Arabidopsis thaliana: one gene and its partners. The protein of the gene in region 2 purifies or fractionates together with the protein of the main gene of each other region. This does not show direct contact. Each region holds a gene or a part of one and is shown on either strand. Other genes may lie near its edges.

Evidence for each region.
Region 1: the proteins of AT4G26600 (region 2) and FIB2 fractionate together in Arabidopsis thaliana (co-fractionation; one large-scale study listed by BioGRID). This does not show direct contact.
Region 3: the proteins of AT4G26600 (region 2) and AT5G27120 fractionate together in Arabidopsis thaliana (co-fractionation; one large-scale study listed by BioGRID). This does not show direct contact.
Region 4: the proteins of AT4G26600 (region 2) and AT4G15770 fractionate together in Arabidopsis thaliana (co-fractionation; one large-scale study listed by BioGRID). This does not show direct contact.

The regions. Positions count from the first base shown.
Region 1 is NC_003075.7:13,072,060-13,076,938, reverse strand, and holds FIB2 (fibrillarin 2), read right to left. Parts: upstream 2,850-4,879; 5' UTR 2,701-2,849; coding exon 2,682-2,700; intron 2,440-2,681; coding exon 2,099-2,439; intron 2,006-2,098; coding exon 1,910-2,005; intron 1,826-1,909; coding exon 1,748-1,825; intron 1,661-1,747; coding exon 1,484-1,660; intron 1,377-1,483; exon of another isoform or gene 1,304-1,376; intron 1,070-1,303; coding exon 1,001-1,069; intron 917-1,000; coding exon 734-916; 3' UTR 507-733; downstream 1-506. Other genes in the region: DTX35 (detoxifying efflux carrier 35), read left to right, coding at 282-363. UniProt on the Arabidopsis thaliana protein: S-adenosyl-L-methionine-dependent methyltransferase that has the ability to methylate both RNAs and proteins. Involved in pre-rRNA processing.
Region 2 is NC_003075.7:13,417,908-13,424,310, forward strand, and holds AT4G26600 (S-adenosyl-L-methionine-dependent methyltransferases superfamily protein), read left to right. Parts: upstream 1-1,653; 5' UTR 1,654-1,721; coding exon 1,722-2,261; intron 2,262-2,357; coding exon 2,358-2,421; intron 2,422-2,550; coding exon 2,551-2,690; intron 2,691-2,792; coding exon 2,793-2,876; intron 2,877-2,967; coding exon 2,968-3,042; intron 3,043-3,131; coding exon 3,132-3,203; intron 3,204-3,296; coding exon 3,297-3,370; intron 3,371-3,615; coding exon 3,616-3,668; intron 3,669-3,750; coding exon 3,751-3,860; intron 3,861-4,063; coding exon 4,064-4,132; intron 4,133-4,217; coding exon 4,218-4,292; intron 4,293-4,462; coding exon 4,463-4,728; coding exon of another isoform or gene 4,729-4,732; exon of another isoform or gene 4,733-4,806; coding exon 4,807-4,906; coding exon of another isoform or gene 4,907-4,933; exon of another isoform or gene 4,934-5,020; coding exon 5,021-5,346; coding exon of another isoform or gene 5,347-5,350; exon of another isoform or gene 5,351-5,450; coding exon 5,451-5,511; 3' UTR 5,512-5,884; downstream 5,885-6,403. UniProt on the Arabidopsis thaliana protein: Involved in ribosomal large subunit assembly. S-adenosyl-L-methionine-dependent methyltransferase that probably methylates the C(5) position of cytosine 1586 (m5C1586) in mitochondrial 26S rRNA.
Region 3 is NC_003076.8:9,539,162-9,544,590, reverse strand, and holds AT5G27120 (NOP56-like pre RNA processing ribonucleoprotein), read right to left. Parts: upstream 3,731-5,429; 5' UTR 3,612-3,730; intron 3,317-3,611; 5' UTR 3,305-3,316; coding exon 3,227-3,304; intron 3,127-3,226; coding exon 3,085-3,126; intron 2,996-3,084; coding exon 2,816-2,995; intron 2,740-2,815; coding exon 2,575-2,739; intron 2,381-2,574; coding exon 2,180-2,380; intron 2,093-2,179; coding exon 1,595-2,092; intron 1,495-1,594; coding exon 1,360-1,494; intron 1,210-1,359; coding exon 907-1,209; 3' UTR 526-906; downstream 1-525. Other genes in the region: AT5G27110 (Tetratricopeptide repeat (TPR)-like superfamily protein), read left to right, coding at 3,944-5,429. UniProt on the Arabidopsis thaliana protein: Required for 60S ribosomal subunit biogenesis.
Region 4 is NC_003075.7:8,976,124-8,979,472, forward strand, and holds AT4G15770 (RNA binding protein), read left to right. Parts: upstream 1-1,771; 5' UTR 1,772-1,936; coding exon 1,937-2,500; 3' UTR 2,501-2,821; downstream 2,822-3,349. Other genes in the region: AT4G15765 (FAD/NAD(P)-binding oxidoreductase family protein), read right to left, coding at 10-238, 492-690, 850-915, 1,018-1,088.

The DNA of each region.
Region 1 (4,879 bases), 350 kb from region 2:
TTGTTAAGCTTAGTAGTGACTTTTTGTTTGTCTTTCATTGGTTTGGGCACCAAATTGTTCTATTTAGAGTTTTAGATTGTAGGAAACTGTTCCATCAGTTATGTTTTGTTACTTACTTCCAAAAGGAAAAATTGCATTACAAATGTTAGTTACTTTTCCTCATGTAACCCAAATGTATCAAAAAAATTTGTAACCCAAATAAAATTCCAGATGCTTGAGAATAAGCCATTCTAGTTTTTTCATCCTGCTATATATGTTGTCAATGATATTTAATAAAGAAGGTCAGGATGGCCGAGTGGTCTAAGGCGCCAGACTCAAGTTCTGGTCTTCGTAAGAGGGCGTGGGTTCAAACCCCACTTCTGACATTAGTTTTTTGTTACAGTTTCTGCGTGAGCTTTTTGTATTTACATTTCCTTGGCTTGTGTCCTAAAAATGCAACGTGTCTTCAAACTTTGTTTTGTTTGTGTGCAAATTCTTGCGGCGTTTTACATTTGCATTACGAGGTGTCATTATTTAAAGAAATCAACCTCAGTCGACAAAATTCTATTATAATTGTTCCATATATCAAAAACTTGTCGAAAAAGTTAGCGCTGGAAGCCAAGTGAACATAACCAGGGTTCAAAATGATTACAAAGCTCAAAATTTAAGATAAACCCTAAAACCATACAGATTCTAAAGAGACCGAGACAAAGCAAAATCTGAGGTACTGGGAAGAGCGTAGAGTAGAAAACTTCTAAGCAGCAGTAGCAGCCTTTGGCTTCTTAGGCATACGGTAGCCACCAACGACACATGCATGGTCACGCTCAAATGGCTCAAGCGTCACTTGCTCAGCTGGTTTGAATTGCTCCTGTTGAAGCTTCTTCACTTCAGTCTGGAACACAGCTTCTGCTGGAACGGTGGAGTCGATACAGTTTGCCTGCAAAAATGAGACAATACATGTTCACTAATCTTTCTCTCTTGAGAGATCATGGATTAAATAAATGTTTCGATTGCTACCCACCTTTATTGAGATCACAAAGTGTCCTCCTGACTTGAGGAAGTATGATGCATTCAAAGCCAAGATCCTAGCCTGCACGGTTTTAAATGGCACAGAAAATTTCATAAACAAAACAGTATAAAGTATACTAGAAGCAACCCACAAGCTGAATGGCATTTAGAAAACAAGTAGGTTTAACATCAGGAGAACCAAAACCGAGCAATAATAGACATTTAAATTTAGTATTGTTCTTAAAAACGAAATTGTAAAACAAGTACATAGTAAAATAAGATTAAGCTTAACAAAAACAAAAACAAGAATTTTCAGTACATCAGAAACTTGGAGATTGCATCACCCATAATGATCTGAAGGGGAATCCAAGTAAGATCATCATTTGCAATTATCAAAACACCATTTTAAAGCAAAGGACACATATAATGGTATTGGGTCAAGCTTTTTGAGGCAAATATTTAGACATTCATTGTGAGTTAAACAAAAGAAGCAAACCTGATCTGGCTGAGCAACATCAGAGAAGATAACATCAACCATGCCTACAAGCATTCTGTATTTAGCTGGGTGTCTAGCATCCTCGATGATTGGAATAACATTGGTTCTCTTCTTTGCCATGTTCACCAAATCTCTACCACTTCTATGAGAAAACTCAACCGCGTACACACACCCCTCCTATCAGATCACAAAGGCAATATATAAGAAACTCCAATACACGTCTAAAACCTGATAATCACAACATAAAGGACGGGTTCTGCTTACAGGGCCAACAAGATCAGACACATGAGAGACTGTGGTTCCAGAAGCAGCACCAAGGTATAGAACTTTAGCACCAGGTTTCTACATTGAAACGGGAACAACAATCAATATATGAACCAAGTCTCGCAAACAACAACAATAAGATTCACACAAGCTGATGCTTACAATCCAGATGTTATCAACACCACCAAGAATAGCAGCAGCCAACTTCGAACGGAAAGGATTCCAAACTCTGTATTCAGTCTTGGTTCCATCTTCGTTCTGCAGATTCAATCACAAGAACCATTAAAAACAAATTCATCAAAAGGAGTGCAAATACAAACCATCAATCAATTAATCAATCCTCTATAATACCTGAACAGAGATTCTCTTCTCGTTGTAGACAGCTTCACCAGGAACCAAATTCTTGGTAACAAGGGCATCTTCTTTACCCTTTGCAATGAACACTCCTGCGTGTCTGTGAGGTTCCACAATCACTTTGCTTCCTCCTTTCATGCCTCCACGGCCAGCTGGTCCTCTGCCGCCGCGAGCACCACCACGTGGTGGTCCTCTTCCTCTGCCGCGACCACCACGGTCGCTGAAACCTCTTCCTCCTCCTCTACCACCGCCACCTCGACCACCACTGAATCCACCGTCACCTCTACCACCACTGTATCCACCACGCCCTCTTCCACCACTGAACCCACCACCACTTCCTGAACACAAAAGACCATTCATTAGAGACTCCATGTTTAACATAAAACCCAACCATCAACTCTATATCCGATAGAACTAACGCAGACCCAATACAGTTCTAAGCAAAAAAGAACAAAGTTGACAATCAGTTCAGCTAAAGACATAAAGTTTTAAAGACTAAACGAGCTAAGAGTGTCACTCGCCATTGTTAATCTGATAAGCAAGCAATGAAGAAAAGAGAAGAGGCGGCTAGGGTTCTTACCAGTTAGAGGAGGTCTCATCTTTGCGTTAAGACTCTAAAGAATGCGAAAATCAAGGAGAAAAGCTTTTGATGAGAGAGAGAATGGCGATGGCGATGAAGCTGCGCTCGCAAGTGTTTTTATACATGTGTTTCAAGCTAGGGTTTTAACAGGGTTTTAATTTAACTCGCCTTATTTATTATTATTTACGTTTTAATCCTTATATTATGTATACATATCTTTTTCTGCTGTCAACTATTTAGAATTAACATTTTGCCCCTCGTAGTTAAAGCTTTATGAAATTCTATCATCACACACACTAACGTGTTACAGCAACAACAAAATTGTGTGTAAATATATTAATCGTCTTACCATTGTAAATTGTAATACACAACATTTAATCGTTACCATCATTTCTCTACACATAAGAAAACAAATACCCAAAAACCAGAAAATTCTAGTTCCAGAGCGAACATGTCTCTTACAATGAAACTGGGCTGCTAAATATGTGGGCTTTAGTTATAGTGGTGTGGGCCATAATAATTTTCATAAATAGTTTATGGTAAAAGCCCACATAATTAGTTTATACGAGGTCCACTCTAACATTACAAGTTCTCATAAATAATTTTCTTCTGTAGTCTGTTTATACAAGGTCCAATATAACATACAAAAATCACTTATGATAAAAACTTATTTATAAATATTGATTTTAAAGCAAATTTTAAACTTTATTATACTCAAACCTATCTTTACTTTAGTCTACCGAAGTGGAGACTCATGTTAACTCGAAAATACAAAATGATTAGTGAGTTAACATGTTCACATACAATGAAAAGGAAATCATATGTAGACACAGTGTTAAAACACTAATTCTAGATAAACATATCACAATCAATGAATGAGTTAGTGAGATGAGATTATTAGTGAATATGTTACACACGGAATGGATAAATTAGAATGAAAGAAATAAATGTGAGAGAATGGAGAGGGAAGTGTGCATGTGGGATGTTGGGGAAAATAGGTCCCATTACCCATCCTTTTTTCTTTTTGAGTCTCTCCCTACCAATCATTATAACTTTTCTCAACTTATACATTCTGAACTATTTATTTCTATTTGTCAAATTAATGGTTATGCTTTAATACATTTATATCCCAATTGGCATATACATGTTGTAGAGTAGCTAGCTATGTCATAGGCTTGAAAATGTTTTTGTTTATAGGAATGAAGATTCCCATTGATTATTCCACTTATTTGGCACTTTTTATCATGTTCAATGTCTACTAGATAAGCATGTGGCTACTAGTGGATGGCCACCTTTGGGGGTAAAATTTTGTTAGTAATATACCATTTCTAGTTATATTTTTAATATGTATACCTATGGACATATCCATTTTGTATCTATCCACACGTTGCAAGACTTACATTAGTTACATAATTCGAATATATAATAATTTCGATCTGTAGAGGTGTGGAAAAGTGAAGCCTTGTTTAGTTGACTTGTTGATTAACTGAATTAGATATCTAAGCTCGTATATATGATTTCATTATGTTATAACGCATAGTTGATTAAACTTACTAGATTACTATCAATAACTGATTTCCGTTTTAAACTTAGGTTTACAATAGATCTATATACGTAGATGAAATTTTCGAGCATAGTAAGAAGAATTTACAATCTAAGTTTAAAGTCATACATTGTTTGATCTATATCTCTATCTATAATATATAAAATTATATTAAAAAGGAGAAAATGTGCTGAAAAGTTTGTATGATGAAAATGAATAAATCATTGTTTTAAATTGAAGTTAAATTTACGTAAATGTGTGCCGCTATTCCACATAATTGTAAAAGGCAATCTTAAAAAGTAATTTTCAAAGTCAAGGTAAAAGAGTAGATATTTAATTTATAGTTCGTCAAGTAAAGATAAATCCTCCTATTTTAGTAGTCACATGTTTTATTGCTAGGGCTGCTGCTTTATTTGTCATATTACTTGCGATCGAGACAATAGAGTAGAGACGACGATGTATGTCCACCAAAACAAATCGATTTTCATGAAATATTATCAACTATTCTTTATTATTTTTTTGGGTATGAATGTTAAGTAACTATTATTTATTTTTTCAAACCAGATCCTAACAATCTACATAAAGAGCTAAACCACCATGTGCATAATGAGCTAACACACTTTGCAATGACAATATGTGATAGGACGCATCACAC
Region 2 (6,403 bases):
AATATGAAACGCATATTTCCACTTTTATTCAAGTTTCTGTTTCTAAGACACACACTGTCTTATTCAATCTGTTTCATGTCAACGTCTATGACTAGGTTCTATGTGTTATAAATAACTTGCAACTTCACCAAAAACATAATACATTTTTTTTTGACAGCCAAACTACATATATATCCTGCAAATGATAATATTTCAAATTCTAACACAATTTTACAAGAAATTTCAACCAATCAATCAAATTATTTTTGGTAGTTGGAATTAAAATTCACCAAAAATAAATTCGTGTTTTCATTCTTAAAGAAGAAACAGAATCGTTTAGAACTGATTTTAGAAAATTACGTGATTCATTTCAGTTTTTGTTATCAACATCACTAGCTTCAATCATGCATGGGCTGAGCATGTAACGCAGGTAGAGATGTCAAAATGGGTTAAAATTCATGGGTTAACTCAACTCAATTCAACCCATGAACTCTAATGAGTTGAAAATTTTGACTCAAATGAGTTAATGGGTCAAATGAGTTGATGAGTCAATTGGTTTGATGAGTAAAATGAGTTGGGTTGTAATGGTTAATGATTTCAATGGTTTACCCAATTAACCCATCAAGTTTTGTAAAATTGAATTAAACCAACTAAAATTTCTAAACCAATGCCAATTTAAGTTTAACCAACACATTTAAACCAATTTAATAAAATTAATATTTTTCCAAATTTCTTAAATATACAAGCGATGAAATTGATAAAAAGTAAACTCGTAATTTTTCACTAAAAAGATAAACCCGTGATTTTCCCGCCAAAAACGTAAATCCATAATTTTCCCGCCAAAAACGTAAACTCGTAATTTTCCAGCCAAAAACGCAAATCCGTAATTTTCCCGCCAAAAACGTAAACTCGTAATTTCCCGCCAAAAACGTAAACCCGTGATTTTCCCGCCAAAAACGTAAATCCGTTATTTTCCCGCCAAAACGTAAACTCATAATTTTCCCGCCAAAAACGTAAATCCGTAATTTTCCCGCCAAAAACGTAAACTCGTAATTTTCCCGCCAAAAACGTTAACCCGTGATTTTCCCGCCAAAAACGTAAACCCGAGATTTTCCTGTCAAAAATGTAAACCCGTAATTTTCCCACCAAAAACATAAACCCGTAATTTTCCTGCCAAAAACGTAAACCTATAATTTTCTCGCCAAAAACATAAACCTGTGATTTTTCCGCCAAAAACGTAAACCCGTAAAAAGTGGAATCCGTAAATATTTTAAGTTTGATGATAATGAATTAATAATATTAATTATTTATTATTGTTTTATAATAATAATTAATTAAATTATTATTTAAATGGGTTAACCCATTTAACAATTCAATCCATCAAATTAAATGAGTTATGGGTTGACCCAACTCATTTAACATCTAAACTTATTTGATTAAGAGTTGAGTTGGATTACCCATTTTGAAACCCCTAAACGCATACATCAAATAACTTATTGAATTATGTTTTTATAGGTTTTATGAATTCAGTGGCTCGATAATTTATTAGGCTGACAAAAAATAAGTTCGACTACAGCCCATTAGTTAGTATTAGTCAGGCCCATTAGTTAGTATCAATCAAGCCCATTAAGCAACTTTGCTCATCCTCCATCTTTACTAGATTCTTCGACCTTGCTTCTCCTACCTCTGCAATTCTGCTAAACCCTCACGGCGATAAACCCTAAGTTGTAAAAACCGTATCCATGGCTGCTCTTACGCGTAACAAGAAGAAGGGTTCCAATTCACAGACTCCGCCACTGAATAAGCAGACTAAGGCGTCTCCGCTGAAGAAGGCGGCTAAAACCCAGAAGCCTCCATTGAAGAAGCAGAGGAAATGTATTTCGGAGAAGAAGCCCCTCAAAAAGCCTGAAGTTTCCACAGACGAGGAAGAAGAAGAAGAAGAGAATGAACAGTCTGATGAAGGGTCTGAATCAGGTTCTGATTTGTTCTCTGATGGTGATGAAGAAGGAAACAATGATAGTGATGATGATGATGATGATGATGATGATGATGATGATGATGATGAGGATGCAGAACCCTTAGCTGAAGACTTTCTCGATGGTAGCGATAATGAGGAGGTAACCATGGGTTCTGATTTGGATTCTGACTCTGGTGGATCCAAACTCGAGAGGAAATCTAGAGCTATTGATAGAAAACGTAAAAAGGAGGTACAAGATGCAGACGATGAATTCAAGATGAACATTAAGGAGAAACCTGATGAGTTTCAGCTACCAACCCAAAAGGTTACATTTTCCTTTACTTAATTGTGGATTTGTTCATATTCTGGATCTCTGGAGCTATTTGTTAGCTAATCTTTTCTATTACTCTACATTGTTTAGGAACTTGAAGAAGAGGCACGTCGGCCGCCAGATCTTCCTAGCTTGCAAATGAGGATAAGAGAGAGTGAGTAACATTTTCAAATTTTATTCCTTTTTAAGAATTCTGGTGTAATGTTATTATTATGATTGTTTTAAATCTCCTAAGGAATCATCCTCTCGGTTCTTAGTTTAATGGTACTAATTTGTGTTTCAGTTGTTAGAATCCTGTCGAATTTTAAGGACTTGAAGCCAAAAGGAGACAAGCACGAGAGGAATGATTATGTTGGACAGCTTAAAGCTGATCTTAGTTCTTACTACGGCTATAATGAGTTTCTTATTGGAACTTTAATTGAGGTTATTCCCTAGTCTCTGACTTTACTCTTTATGCTTGCTTTGATCTAGAGTTATGTGTAGGAATTCTGTTACTTATACTCTTTAGTTGTAATCTTCTGGCAGATGTTTCCTGTTGTTGAACTCATGGAACTAATCGAAGCTTTTGAAAAGAAAAGACCTACATCTATACGTACTAACACTCTTAAGGTGAACTTGGTTGTGCATTGGAGTGTCTAAAACAAAGTATTTCTCAGCTGTTGTGATATTTCAATTAATGCTGATGTTTGTTTTGGTTAAGACTCGAAGACGGGATCTGGCTGATATACTTTTGAACAGAGGAGTTAATCTAGACCCATTAAGCAAGTGGTCAAAAGTAAGTAGTATTTGCAGATTGTCTTCCATTTTATTTGCGAAAACATTTTTGTGGACCATCTTTAGTTGATCCTGGCATAATATTTGTAGGTTGGACTTATCGTTTATGATTCACAAGTTCCGATTGGTGCAACTCCTGAATATTTGGCAGGATTCTATATGGTACTTGATTTTCTGATTTTTTTTGTACTTTTCGGCTCACACTTTATGGGTTTTCTTATTGTTTACTTAAGTATGTTCTTGGTACATTTTCAGTTGCAAAGTGCTAGTTCGTTCTTGCCAGTGATGGCCCTTGCTCCTCGAGAAAAAGAACGAGTTGTGGACATGGCGTAAGTCATTATCTTACATAAATGCACTATATTTGTGTCTCAGATAAATATATATATATATATATGATGACCAAGCAGTACCTTAATCTGATATTCAAGTGTAGCTTGTGATATGTATCATTTGTTATGATTGTTGTGATGATAAGTGCTGTCAAAACGGAAAAGCCAATTTGATTGTCCCGTGATGTGAGACATATGCAACTAGTATATTGTGATATCTGTAACAAGTTCTTATACCACTGCAGTGCTGCCCCTGGTGGTAAAACAACATATGTTGCTGCACTAATGAAAAATACAGGTATACATATATTGGTTCCTTATTCCTCCAGCCCCATAATTTTAGTCAGTTATATCTAATGTTATAATGTTTATATAACCAGGCATAATATATGCAAACGAGATGAAAGTACCTAGGCTTAAGTCACTTTCTGCCAATCTACATCGCATGGGAGTGACAAATACCATAGTTTGTAACTATGACGGACGAGAGGTTAGTTTCTTGAACCTTTATTCTTCTGTTGACGGTACATGCTTGAGGATGTTAAATATTGCAAACTGGTTGTAAACCATCAGCTCAACCAAATTGAAAAATTACTGGCAAGACTGTAATTGCACCAAATAACAAAGTTTTAAAGACAGCTTCTCTATTATTCCCTTGCATTTTTTATTTATCTCATCTTCTTTGCCTTTCAGCTAACCAAAGTTTTAGGTCAGAGCTCGGTTGATAGAGTATTGCTGGATGCTCCCTGCAGTGGAACTGGAGTAAGAAAGTTTGGACCATACACTCTTATAGTCTTTTAAGTGAATTTCTCTGTTCATAGTTTAATGTCACTTCTACACAATGCAGGTTATATCAAAAGACGAATCAGTTAAAACTTCCAAAAGTGCTGATGACATAAAGAAATTTGCCCATTTGCAAAAGGTATGTTGTTGCCTTAAACAATATCAACTAAAACATTCTTTACATCCAAGACAAATATTTAAACATGAAAATGGCATAAACGCCGTTTATACCCTCTTACTGTGAGTATATAAAGAAGGATGCATTTGGTATATAATGCTAACCATACTCTCTTCTTTTCTTGCGCATAGCAACTTATACTTGGTGCGATTGATTTGGTAGACGCCAATTCCAAAACCGGTGGATATATTGTTTACTCAACATGTTCAGTTATGATACCCGAGGTTGGTGAACCATACTTTTTCTGTTCCACTATTTTTTTTTCCTGGCATCTTCATGTTTTCTCACTAGTTCTATTTGTACAACAAATTATGCAGAACGAAGCTGTCATCGATTATGCTCTGAAAAACAGGGATGTTAAACTCGTTCCATGTGGACTTGATTTTGGCCGACCAGGGTAATATACATTTTCATCTGCATTGAAAAATTTCATGATTCGTCATCTGAACACAAATGTTTTGCTGCATATCTTCAGATTTAGCAGTTTTAGAGAACACCGGTTCCACCCTTCTTTAGAGAAGACTAGACGTTTCTATCCTCACGTGCACAACATGGATGGATTCTTTGTTGCAAAGGTATACACTTGGTTAACCTATGAATAGCTTTTCCCTGCAAAACAGATGTTTTATAAAATATGAATAGTGATTAAACCAACGAGGTATTTACTTTTTCCTTTCTTTGTTCTGCAGCTGAAGAAGATGAGCAATGCAATGCAGCCTTCAGGAAATGATGAGCCAGCTGTAACAATGGAGCAAGCTCAGGTGTCGTCTAGTGATGATGATGATGAGAAAGCTGAGGCCATTGAGGAGTTGGAGAAGCCACCTGTTGCCAGTGGGCAACCCAAGAGAGAGAGTAACACTAAAGAAGACACGAACAAACGAAAAAATCCAAGGTCAAAGGAAATTCACAAAGGCAAAAGGAATAAAAACACAAAAACCGAAAGTGGTAATGTGGAAGAACCCAGGAAGCAAAAGAAGAAGAGATCACAATGGAAGAATGAGATTGCTCAAGCTAGGTAAAAAAACTAAGTGTTTCCTTGACAGACAAAAGAGAAAACCTTCTTATGTACATTGTTGTATCATACACCCATTTACCCATAAATGGTTGAATATGTTGCAGGGAAGAAAAAAGAAAAACCATGAGAGAGAATGCTAAGGAGACGCCAAAGCACAGGGGATAAGAATAGGTTTGAGATCGTGATGCATCTTGAAGAGTAGAATATTTCGGTGTTCTGGCCATGGCGAAGGACACAAGAAAAGAGGCTTCATTGGCTGAGGCCAAGGTATCTATACAATGGCTTTCTAGTTTTGATTAATTTACTGCGTAAAGAAAGGGTGACACCCACATGGATTAGCTGTTACATGTCCAAAAGTTTTGTATCAATCACATAACTTGATTTTTGTGAGAGGCTGTTTCTATTTTCCGTTTTCAATTGGAGTTGTAAAATTTATTGAAAACAAAAACGAGTCCCTACTTTCTCTCACAAGTGTGTTTGAAAGGCTATTCATTTTTCTGCTCCTAGCAATTATTTAATAAAATACATAAATCTTGGAGGGTTGGGTCCATACCACCACATAAGGATAGAATTTCTCATAGTATTGATTTGACGAAAAAATAAGGGAATTGGGAGTGAGCTGGTCATTGTTAGGGAGAGATGTGAAGGTTTTCTGAAGTGGGACTTGAGTGTTGGAGAAACATGACAATCCAATTCAACTCTTCTTCATCCATCTTTATCAGATTCTCCTCCGTTGGGGACCTTACATTTACTTCTCTCACACTAATCTTCTTGTTTCTATTTTTAGATTATAAGCCCATATTATAACTGCTAGTGCTTGTAGCCTTGTATACACAAACTCACATGCATCACATATAACATCGTATAATTGCTGTATTCACTTTATATTTGGATATCCAAGATTATAGAAAAGAGATTCCTTTGCAGGACCCAAAAGATACAGCTTTTAAAAGCAAATGAGTTCATTTTAATTTCTTGCTAACCAAAATGGTAAGTAATTTTGTGGACTTATGGTATGGATAAATAACAAAATCTCAATAAACCATTGAAAATAGGA
Region 3 (5,429 bases), on a different chromosome or scaffold from region 2:
AGAGCAATGTGTGATACACATTGTATTTTGTGAGGTTGTGATATTCGTCATTTGTGTAATTGTTGCAAATTTCAAAGACACGAAATATATTATTGGTATTGTTGTTTTGCGTGCAAGGCACGGGCTGCCTACTAGTTTACTTACAAATAAAAAGACTTTATAAATTAAAATCCAGTTCGATAGGTGTCTAGGCAGATTTTTTGAACATTACCTACAATGATTACATAAAACACTATAGATTAAACTTTTTCCACGGCAACTAAATTTAATTAAAAATAAAAAAAACTTTATGAATTAAAATCCAGTTAAATATTTTAAAACATATATGTTCAGTAGTAAATTTTGATATTGACGGAACCATTATCACGAAATATTCAGAAAGAATTTTGATTCATATTCATCACAAAATTTATAGCACAATAAAAATATATACACACACAAAGTAGGTAGACTCTAGATTTTATTTATCTTTTGAAATTTCTAAGGTCTGGTATGATTTGCCTTATGCTCAACCCAATCCATTTCCAATTGACTATTAAGGTACTTTTTAGACTCACAAATATTCATTTTGTACAAGGTTTTTTAAAATGTCAATGATACACTTGATGAAAAATGTCGACTCTTCGGACTGATCTTTACAAATTTATGAACTAATCAACTATGAGTAATTACGTTATACTAAGATTAGAAGGATTTAACGGTAAGGTCTTGACTCGTTTGGCAAAATGCAAGTTTCTGGGATAAGGACTAAACCAAACATATTATAACCTTACAAAACGAAGAGTAGTTCTTTTTTTTAAGTTTCAAACAAAACAAAAACCTTACTTAACACCTAACGCCACAAAAGATTTTCTTTGTTTCTGATAACAAAGTAAACTAGACCACGCAAAAATATTAAAGGTCTCTTCAGACCTCAGTTTTCTTCTTCTTCTTCTTCTCACTCTTTTCCTTCTTCTTAGCAGGCATTTCAGTTTCCTCTTCCTCGTGTTTTCTCTTCTTCTTCTTCTCCTTCTTTGCAGGCTCTTCGGCGGTTTCAGGTTCTGCTTCTGTCTTCTTCTTATTCGATTTCTTCTTTGAGGGCTCCTCAGTTTTGGCTTCTTCCTCATCATCAGCCTTCTTCTTCTTCTTTTTGTCTTTCTTCTCTTTCACACCGTTCTCTGAATCCACTGTGGGAGTTTGAAGAAGAGAGTCTGCAGCAGTGTTGTATGTCTGCAGAATACAACAACAACAACAACAACAAACAGCTTAATCCTTTAAGCAACATTACAGGTAATATATCCAAAACACAATTGCACAAATCCAGAATTCATAATTACAAAAGAAAGTTGAAGAAACAAACTAGCAGAGGAATAATCTGACCTTAGCAGGAGTGATCAGACCTCCGGATCCTTTCTTTTTATCTTTGTCATATACTTCAATCTTTGGTTTGCCTTTAGCTGAGCCAGATAGACGTCCTAAATCTTTTCCTTCGAGAGTTCTCAACCGTGCTTCAAGCTGTCAGAAGAAAATAGCCCGCATGGTAAACATCAATCAAGGTAGAGTATTTTTAGATCAGATCGAGAGGAAGATCGGAAAAAAAAAAATTGAAGGATACCTTTAAACGGTTTTCAACTCCCATAGTGTTGTCTTGGGAGTCACCAAGAGCATCACAACGGATAGCAAGAACAGATTTTGCAGCTAGTGACCGTGAAATTTTACCCTTGTTCTTCGGTGCAGCTTGGCCAACAACAGATGCATGGAAAATTAAACCATACTTTGGAGTAGCGTGTTTGGTCTTAAGGGCTCTAAATAAGGCTTTTTCAGCTCCAAGAATCTGAACCGTGCTTCCAGGTTGCTTTGCGAGGTTCAACAAACTACCACCGTGAGATATTAAGCGAGCACCGACTAGCTCCCCGACAAGGGCAGTTAGATTTGGTGCAATTGTGTTCATTCTGCTCTTCAAGTAGTCATAAAGCTGAGCTCTGTACTCGGCAAGAGAAAGAACCTGGTCACAGAGTTCTCGGATGTGCAATAAATCAAGGTCACTGACTTCAGTTCCCATAGATATCACAGCAGCCTCTTTCAGTTCTGCTTCAATTTCATCAGCCAATATCTGAGAGGAGGACACAGAAACAATGTTTCAAAAAAAAAAAAACTAGTGTTAAGCACAAGGAAGTCAAATACTCAAACAGGCCTTTACCTCAGAGAAGTCTAGCTTTGCAGCATTAATCCGATTCCCCATTAGTTTAACAGCCTTGGCATATAAGATATTGTCCTGTACGATCTTAGCAAGCTCAGGAAAATGCCAACCAAACCATTCACGAACCCTCATAGCGTAAGTGTTAAGCTCTTTGTCAAGATCATCAAGCAGACCAATAGCTTGGATTATCATGGTATCCACCTAACATACAAGTACAAGGTGAAGTAACATAAGGGTCAAACAAACACAGGATATATAGACAAACTCAATTGCAATTCAGACCTAATGTTGGAAGAGTAAAAAAAGGGATACCAAAAGTTCCATAATTTATCAAAAGTTGGCTAACTCAACAAATAATTCAGAGAACCAAAAACCAATACAAATCAAATGACTACCTTGTCGGAACTGAACTTTAGTTTATATCTGGCAAGGCTGTGAGACAACCCCAAGCTCATTGGACCTAGATCTTGATCACCCAATCCAGATATAAGTTCAGTTAGCTGGCTTCTGATACCTCTTAACAGCTCCATAACAGCATTGTTGTGAACACAGACTATTTTCTACACGAGTGAAGCAAAACCGTAAGAAACAACCCTTACTCAGAAATAAAAGAGCGTATCGGAACAAAATACACACCAGTTTCTCCTTGATGATATTTCCAAGCTTAGAATCAGCAACAGCTAATGTTTCACCAACACAGTTAGCTTTCAAAAACTTGCGTAGACCCTTGCTTGGAGTTCCCTCAAGCAATTTAGCCACTGCTTCAAGAGCTTCAGCTGTGTTGTCAAACTTGTCAAAAGCTACTAGCTTCACCATCTGTAACAACACACCAAAAATTGCTATGAGAAACAAATATTATTAGCCAGATACAAAATTTGAACTATGTCTAGAACAAAATAAATCACCTTTCGGGCTAACTTTGCGGTCGAGAACTCATTACCCAAATCCTACAATCACAAATTTGACATACTTAGAATTAAAAAACCAAACCACACACAGAAACAAGGTTAAGATAAATGAACAAAGGAGAATGATTTAGTTAGTAACCTCAACATTAGAGAGCTTTCCTTCGTTTAATACTTTGAAGATGGCAAAACCACCTGGCGTCTCAAACAGTATTAGCATTTTTACAAGCTCCTGAAAAGAAGAAAAAACAAGATTAAGAGAAACCCTTGAATCAACTCAAAGTCACCAAACTTGCAAGTTAGTGTTTTACGAGCTAAAGCCATTAAGCTAGTACGAAACAATATTCAAGGTAAAACTTTTTCCCTGTTTCGAAGTTTACAAATCAGAATAATAGTTAAGGCAGATACTCTGTTCAAATTCTTGAAAATCCGACAAAGAACAGAACTATACTTTGTCAAAGTCTTAGAATTTTGGAAGCTTATTTGCCATAACAACGAAGAAAGAGAGGGCGAGAGAGATTCAGTACCTTAGAGGGTTAACGCACAACTACAGCTTTAGAGAGAGCTAAAATCAGGAGCCGCGATTCTGCTAGGGTTTAAGATGGTTTTTATAGTTGTTGAAGAAGGTTCAGAGATTCTCAAAACGCTGCGTTTTTATTGCTAACGGCGCGTTTTTGTAACCTAGGGTTTTAAAACGCATCGCTAATTTAGAAAAATAAATCATTTTGGGCCTAATTAAGTTTGGCCCATTAGTATAAACGACGTCGTAGTTTGAATCATGTCTTTCCTTTATAATTTAGCTAAAGCAGCGACTGATCACATTTCAATCTCTCACGACAAAAAAAAATGTGAACTTGAAATGGAATCTTCAAAGTTGTTGTCTTTATTGCGAGAGTGTACCAATAGCACCAAGTCTCTAAGAAGAATCAAGCTTGTGCATCAGAGAATACTCACGTTGGGGTTACGAAGAGACGTAGTTTTATGCAAAAGTCTCATCAATGTCTACTTTACTTGTAAAGACCATTGCTCAGCGAGACACGTCTTCGAGAACTTCGATATACGATCGGATGTTTACATATGGAACTCTTTAATGTCTGGTTATTCAAAGAACTCAATGTTTCATGACACTCTTGAGGTTTTCAAGAGGTTGTTGAATTGCTCAATTTGTGTCCCTGATTCGTTTACTTTTCCGAATGTGATTAAGGCTTATGGTGCGTTGGGTAGAGAGTTTCTTGGTAGGATGATTCATACTCTTGTGGTGAAGAGTGGGTATGTTTGTGATGTGGTTGTGGCGAGTTCTTTGGTTGGTATGTATGCAAAGTTTAACTTGTTTGAGAATTCACTACAAGTGTTCGATGAAATGCCTGAGAGAGATGTAGCATCTTGGAACACGGTTATTTCGTGTTTTTATCAAAGTGGAGAGGCAGAGAAGGCTTTGGAGTTGTTTGGAAGAATGGAAAGTTCTGGCTTTGAACCAAATTCAGTTTCGTTGACGGTGGCTATATCGGCGTGTTCAAGGCTGTTGTGGTTGGAGAGAGGGAAGGAGATACATAGAAAATGTGTGAAGAAAGGGTTTGAGTTAGATGAGTATGTAAACTCTGCCCTTGTTGATATGTATGGGAAATGTGACTGCTTGGAGGTGGCTAGGGAGGTTTTTCAGAAAATGCCTAGAAAGAGTTTGGTTGCTTGGAATTCTATGATCAAAGGTTATGTCGCTAAAGGAGACAGTAAGTCATGTGTTGAGATTTTGAATAGAATGATCATAGAAGGAACTCGACCGAGTCAGACAACCTTGACCAGCATTTTGATGGCTTGCTCTCGCTCACGGAATCTCCTACATGGAAAATTTATACACGGTTATGTGATTAGAAGCGTTGTAAATGCAGATATCTATGTGAACTGTTCCTTGATTGATCTATACTTCAAGTGTGGTGAAGCAAATTTGGCTGAAACCGTCTTTTCAAAGACACAGAAGGACGTTGCTGAGTCATGGAATGTCATGATTTCTAGTTATATCAGTGTAGGTAATTGGTTTAAGGCTGTTGAAGTGTATGACCAAATGGTGAGTGTTGGAGTGAAGCCAGACGTGGTAACTTTCACAAGTGTTTTACCTGCTTGTTCGCAACTGGCTGCGTTAGAGAAAGGCAAACAGATTCATTTGTCCATTAGTGAGAGCAGGCTCGAAACAGACGAGTTGCTTTTGAGTGCGCTTCTTGACATGTATTCTAAATGCGGCAATGAAAAAGAGGCTTTTAGGATTTTCAACAGTATACCAAAGAAGGATGTTGTATCATGGACGGTAATGATCTCTGCGTATGGATCTCATGGTCAACCCAGAGAAGCAC
Region 4 (3,349 bases), 4.4 Mb from region 2:
ATTAATTACCTTGGGGACAATTTCGCAAAACAACAAACCAAAAGACGAGTTTGTGAGTTATAGGAAGTCGTCCGCTTACGACGTTGTCCATCTTGATTCTTATAAACTCTTGTCGGAATCCATGGTCGTCCGGGTAATTTGTGAACCCTCTGATGGCCCGCGAACCGAGGTCTTTAGTCGGGTTTAATCCTAGAAATCTAGAGACTACAGAATTTGACCCATCGCAGCCAATCAAAACCTAAATTAAAAGAAAAGTATATTATCAAAATATATAAGACCCATGCATTTCATGCTAAACATGTTGCTTTCAGTGAAAAACAAACAAAACACAAACCATTAAAACCGATCACGACCCATAAATGTCACTGTCGGCTAATATAAAGTATATACTAAAAAAATTCCACTACGGCATCACCTCAATAATTGATCAATAAATATATCTACTGTTGTTAAAACGTGCCTTTGCTTTGATAGCTTCTCCCGTTTTTAACGTGCACAATCGGAAACGATTTTGTTTCGTCGAGCTTAACCGACAAAATATGGCAACCAAGCCGGAGAGTGCCAAGAGGAAGAGCATGAGCCAAAGCTCGAACCAAGTCGTTCCTTAGTACACCTCTTACTTCTCCATAGGATGCTGGTCCAACCGATTCTCTTCGTTTAATACCTTTCTCGATCAAAACATCTCTTATCCTGTTTTAGTACCATACCGGAAATCATTATAACTAGATAAGGTTAGTTAAAATATAAATATTTATATACTTACTGATGAATTGGGAGAGACTTAAGACGAAGCTAGCTTATCGGCGACACCAAGTTGTTGAAGAGCAAGCCAGCCGTTAGTCTGAATACCAAAATGCTGCTCCTTCCGATCTTACAGACTCTGATCTCTCCAACACAACGCTCTTTATGCCCTTCCTTTATAATCATATTTGTATGTTTAGTTAGTCAATAGTTCATGTATATGTTTTCTAATTTAAATTACCTTATAATTGAGAAAATGAGGAGATTATAGTGAACCTGTGAAGAGCAAGGGAAGTTGCAAGACCAGCAATGCCTCCTCCCACGATTACTATGTCCAATTCTTCCATTCTTCTATATTTGTATTTCCTCCAAATTTTATGATCGTTATGTCCTGCAATGTCGTGGACTTATATGTGGGGGTTGAAGCCACATGGCAATATGGCATGTCGTGGTTGTACCTTGACCCGCGTATTTTTCGTTATCTATACATATTCATTCACAGCGATTTTTATTGGTATTTGTCGATTCATATATCAATTAAACTGTGTATCACACAGATCGTTATATGAAACCAATTCTGAAGAGAGAAAAAAAAGAAAAGAAAAATTTAAGCCTTCTTGTGTTAGAATTACTAATTTTAATAATTTATTTAATATTTTTACTGTATTAGTGATTAAATGTATAATTTACTTAATCTTAGAAGTATATATATATATTTAAAACAATTATTTTCTTACACGTTATACAATATTTGTAATTAATTGTATTTATTTATATTAGAAATATATATACCTTTTTCTAAAATAATATATTTTTGTTTTGTCAATTGCCCTTATAATATTAGTAATTCATTGTATGATTTCCTTATAATATTTTTACACATGAAAAAATCTCTAACTAAACATCTTTTCAATAAACTACATGAACTATCAAATTTGTTATAACTTTCAGTTATCCTCCAAAGTCCAAATATTCAAAGTGAATTATTCATGGGTTGGATTTAACAAAAATAATAATTTCGAGGTTGAAATGACAATAGATATTTTTAAAACAAAGGACCAAAGTCGAAATAACAAAACTCATCGGCCGCATTAGGTTTGGTCCTAAATCCCTAAAACCCTAAAAAAACACAATCCCTCTTAGAAACAGAGAGCTTCTCTTCTTTCTCCATTATTCATCACTTTCTTCCCCGAAGATGCGTCCTTTAGACGAGACCGAGACAACCGTCGTCTTCGAGAAGCTCTTCAAATTCGTCGGCAACAACCTCAAGAAGATCGTCGAGAACCCATCAGACGAAGGACCCGAATCTACACCCGGCAGCTACTGCTTCCGCCTCCAGAAAAACAGAGTCTACTACGTCAGCGAAGCCCTCGTGAAGCGAGCCACAAACATCTCCAGGAAAAACCTAGTCTCCTTCGGAACCTGCATCGGGAAATACACTCACGCCGGTAGTTTCCATCTGACGATTATGTCACTCAATATCTTGGCGGCGAATGCTAAACACAAGGTATGGCTTAAACCCACTTCGGAGATGTCGTTTCTTTATGGGAACCATGTCTTGAAAGGTGGATTAGGGAGGATTACTGATAGTATTGTTCCTGGAGATGGTGTTGTTGTGTTCTCGATGTCTGATGTTCCGTTAGGGTTTGGGATTGCTGCGAAGAGTACACAGGATTGTAGGAAATTGGATCCTAATGGTATTGTTGTGCTTCATCAGGCTGATATTGGAGAGTATTTGAGGGGTGAAGATGACCTTTGAAAGTTTAAAGGTTTTGTCTTTGTTGTGTCTTAGTTTGATTCTGCTTGTTGCTTTGAGTTTTAAAGTATGTAGCTGTTACAAGTTTCGTGGAACTTGGTTCTGGATCTATGAAAGTCTCGATTTTTATAAATCTGTTTTTGAGGTGTTTTGTGAGACTCTTGAGTATGTAAAAGCTAAAAAATTTACATTCATATGCGAATTTTCAAATCTGTAACCTGATGATCAAGATTTGTATTGGAGACAGGTTGAGTTTCCTGATATTGCTTTGATTTTTATACTTAAAAGCTTCAAATTCTTCATCAAGCTTGAAACTTTGGAAATTTACATACATATGCTAATTTTCAAATCTGTAACCCTAATGATTCAGATATGTGTTGGAGACAGATTGATTATGCTGATTTTTGAGACAGATTGATTATGCTGATTTTTGAGACAGATTGATTATGCTGATTTTTCTTTGGTTTTATAGTCCAAAAGCTTCAAATTGTTTTCAAGCTTCAAACTTTGGCCTTTGAGTATTAAGGGTATGTGACTGTCACAAATTTTGTGGAACATGGTATTGTATCTATGAAAGTCTCAATTGTTCTCAAACAAGAGTATCGAGAAGCTACAATTGTAAGCTGATGAATCAGTTTTCTGTATGGAAACAGATTGCTTGCTTTGATTTAAAACTTCAAAACTTATTACTGGGCATATAGGTTGTGTACTGCTGCCAAATAATCTGGAGAAGAGATGTTTAAACCAATTAAGTTCTGAAATCTTTCTGAAACAGATTGCATAACTTTTTGGGAAAGATATTGAGGGTGTTCTTTGAATAAATATGTTGTACACTGAAAATTTCCCACATTA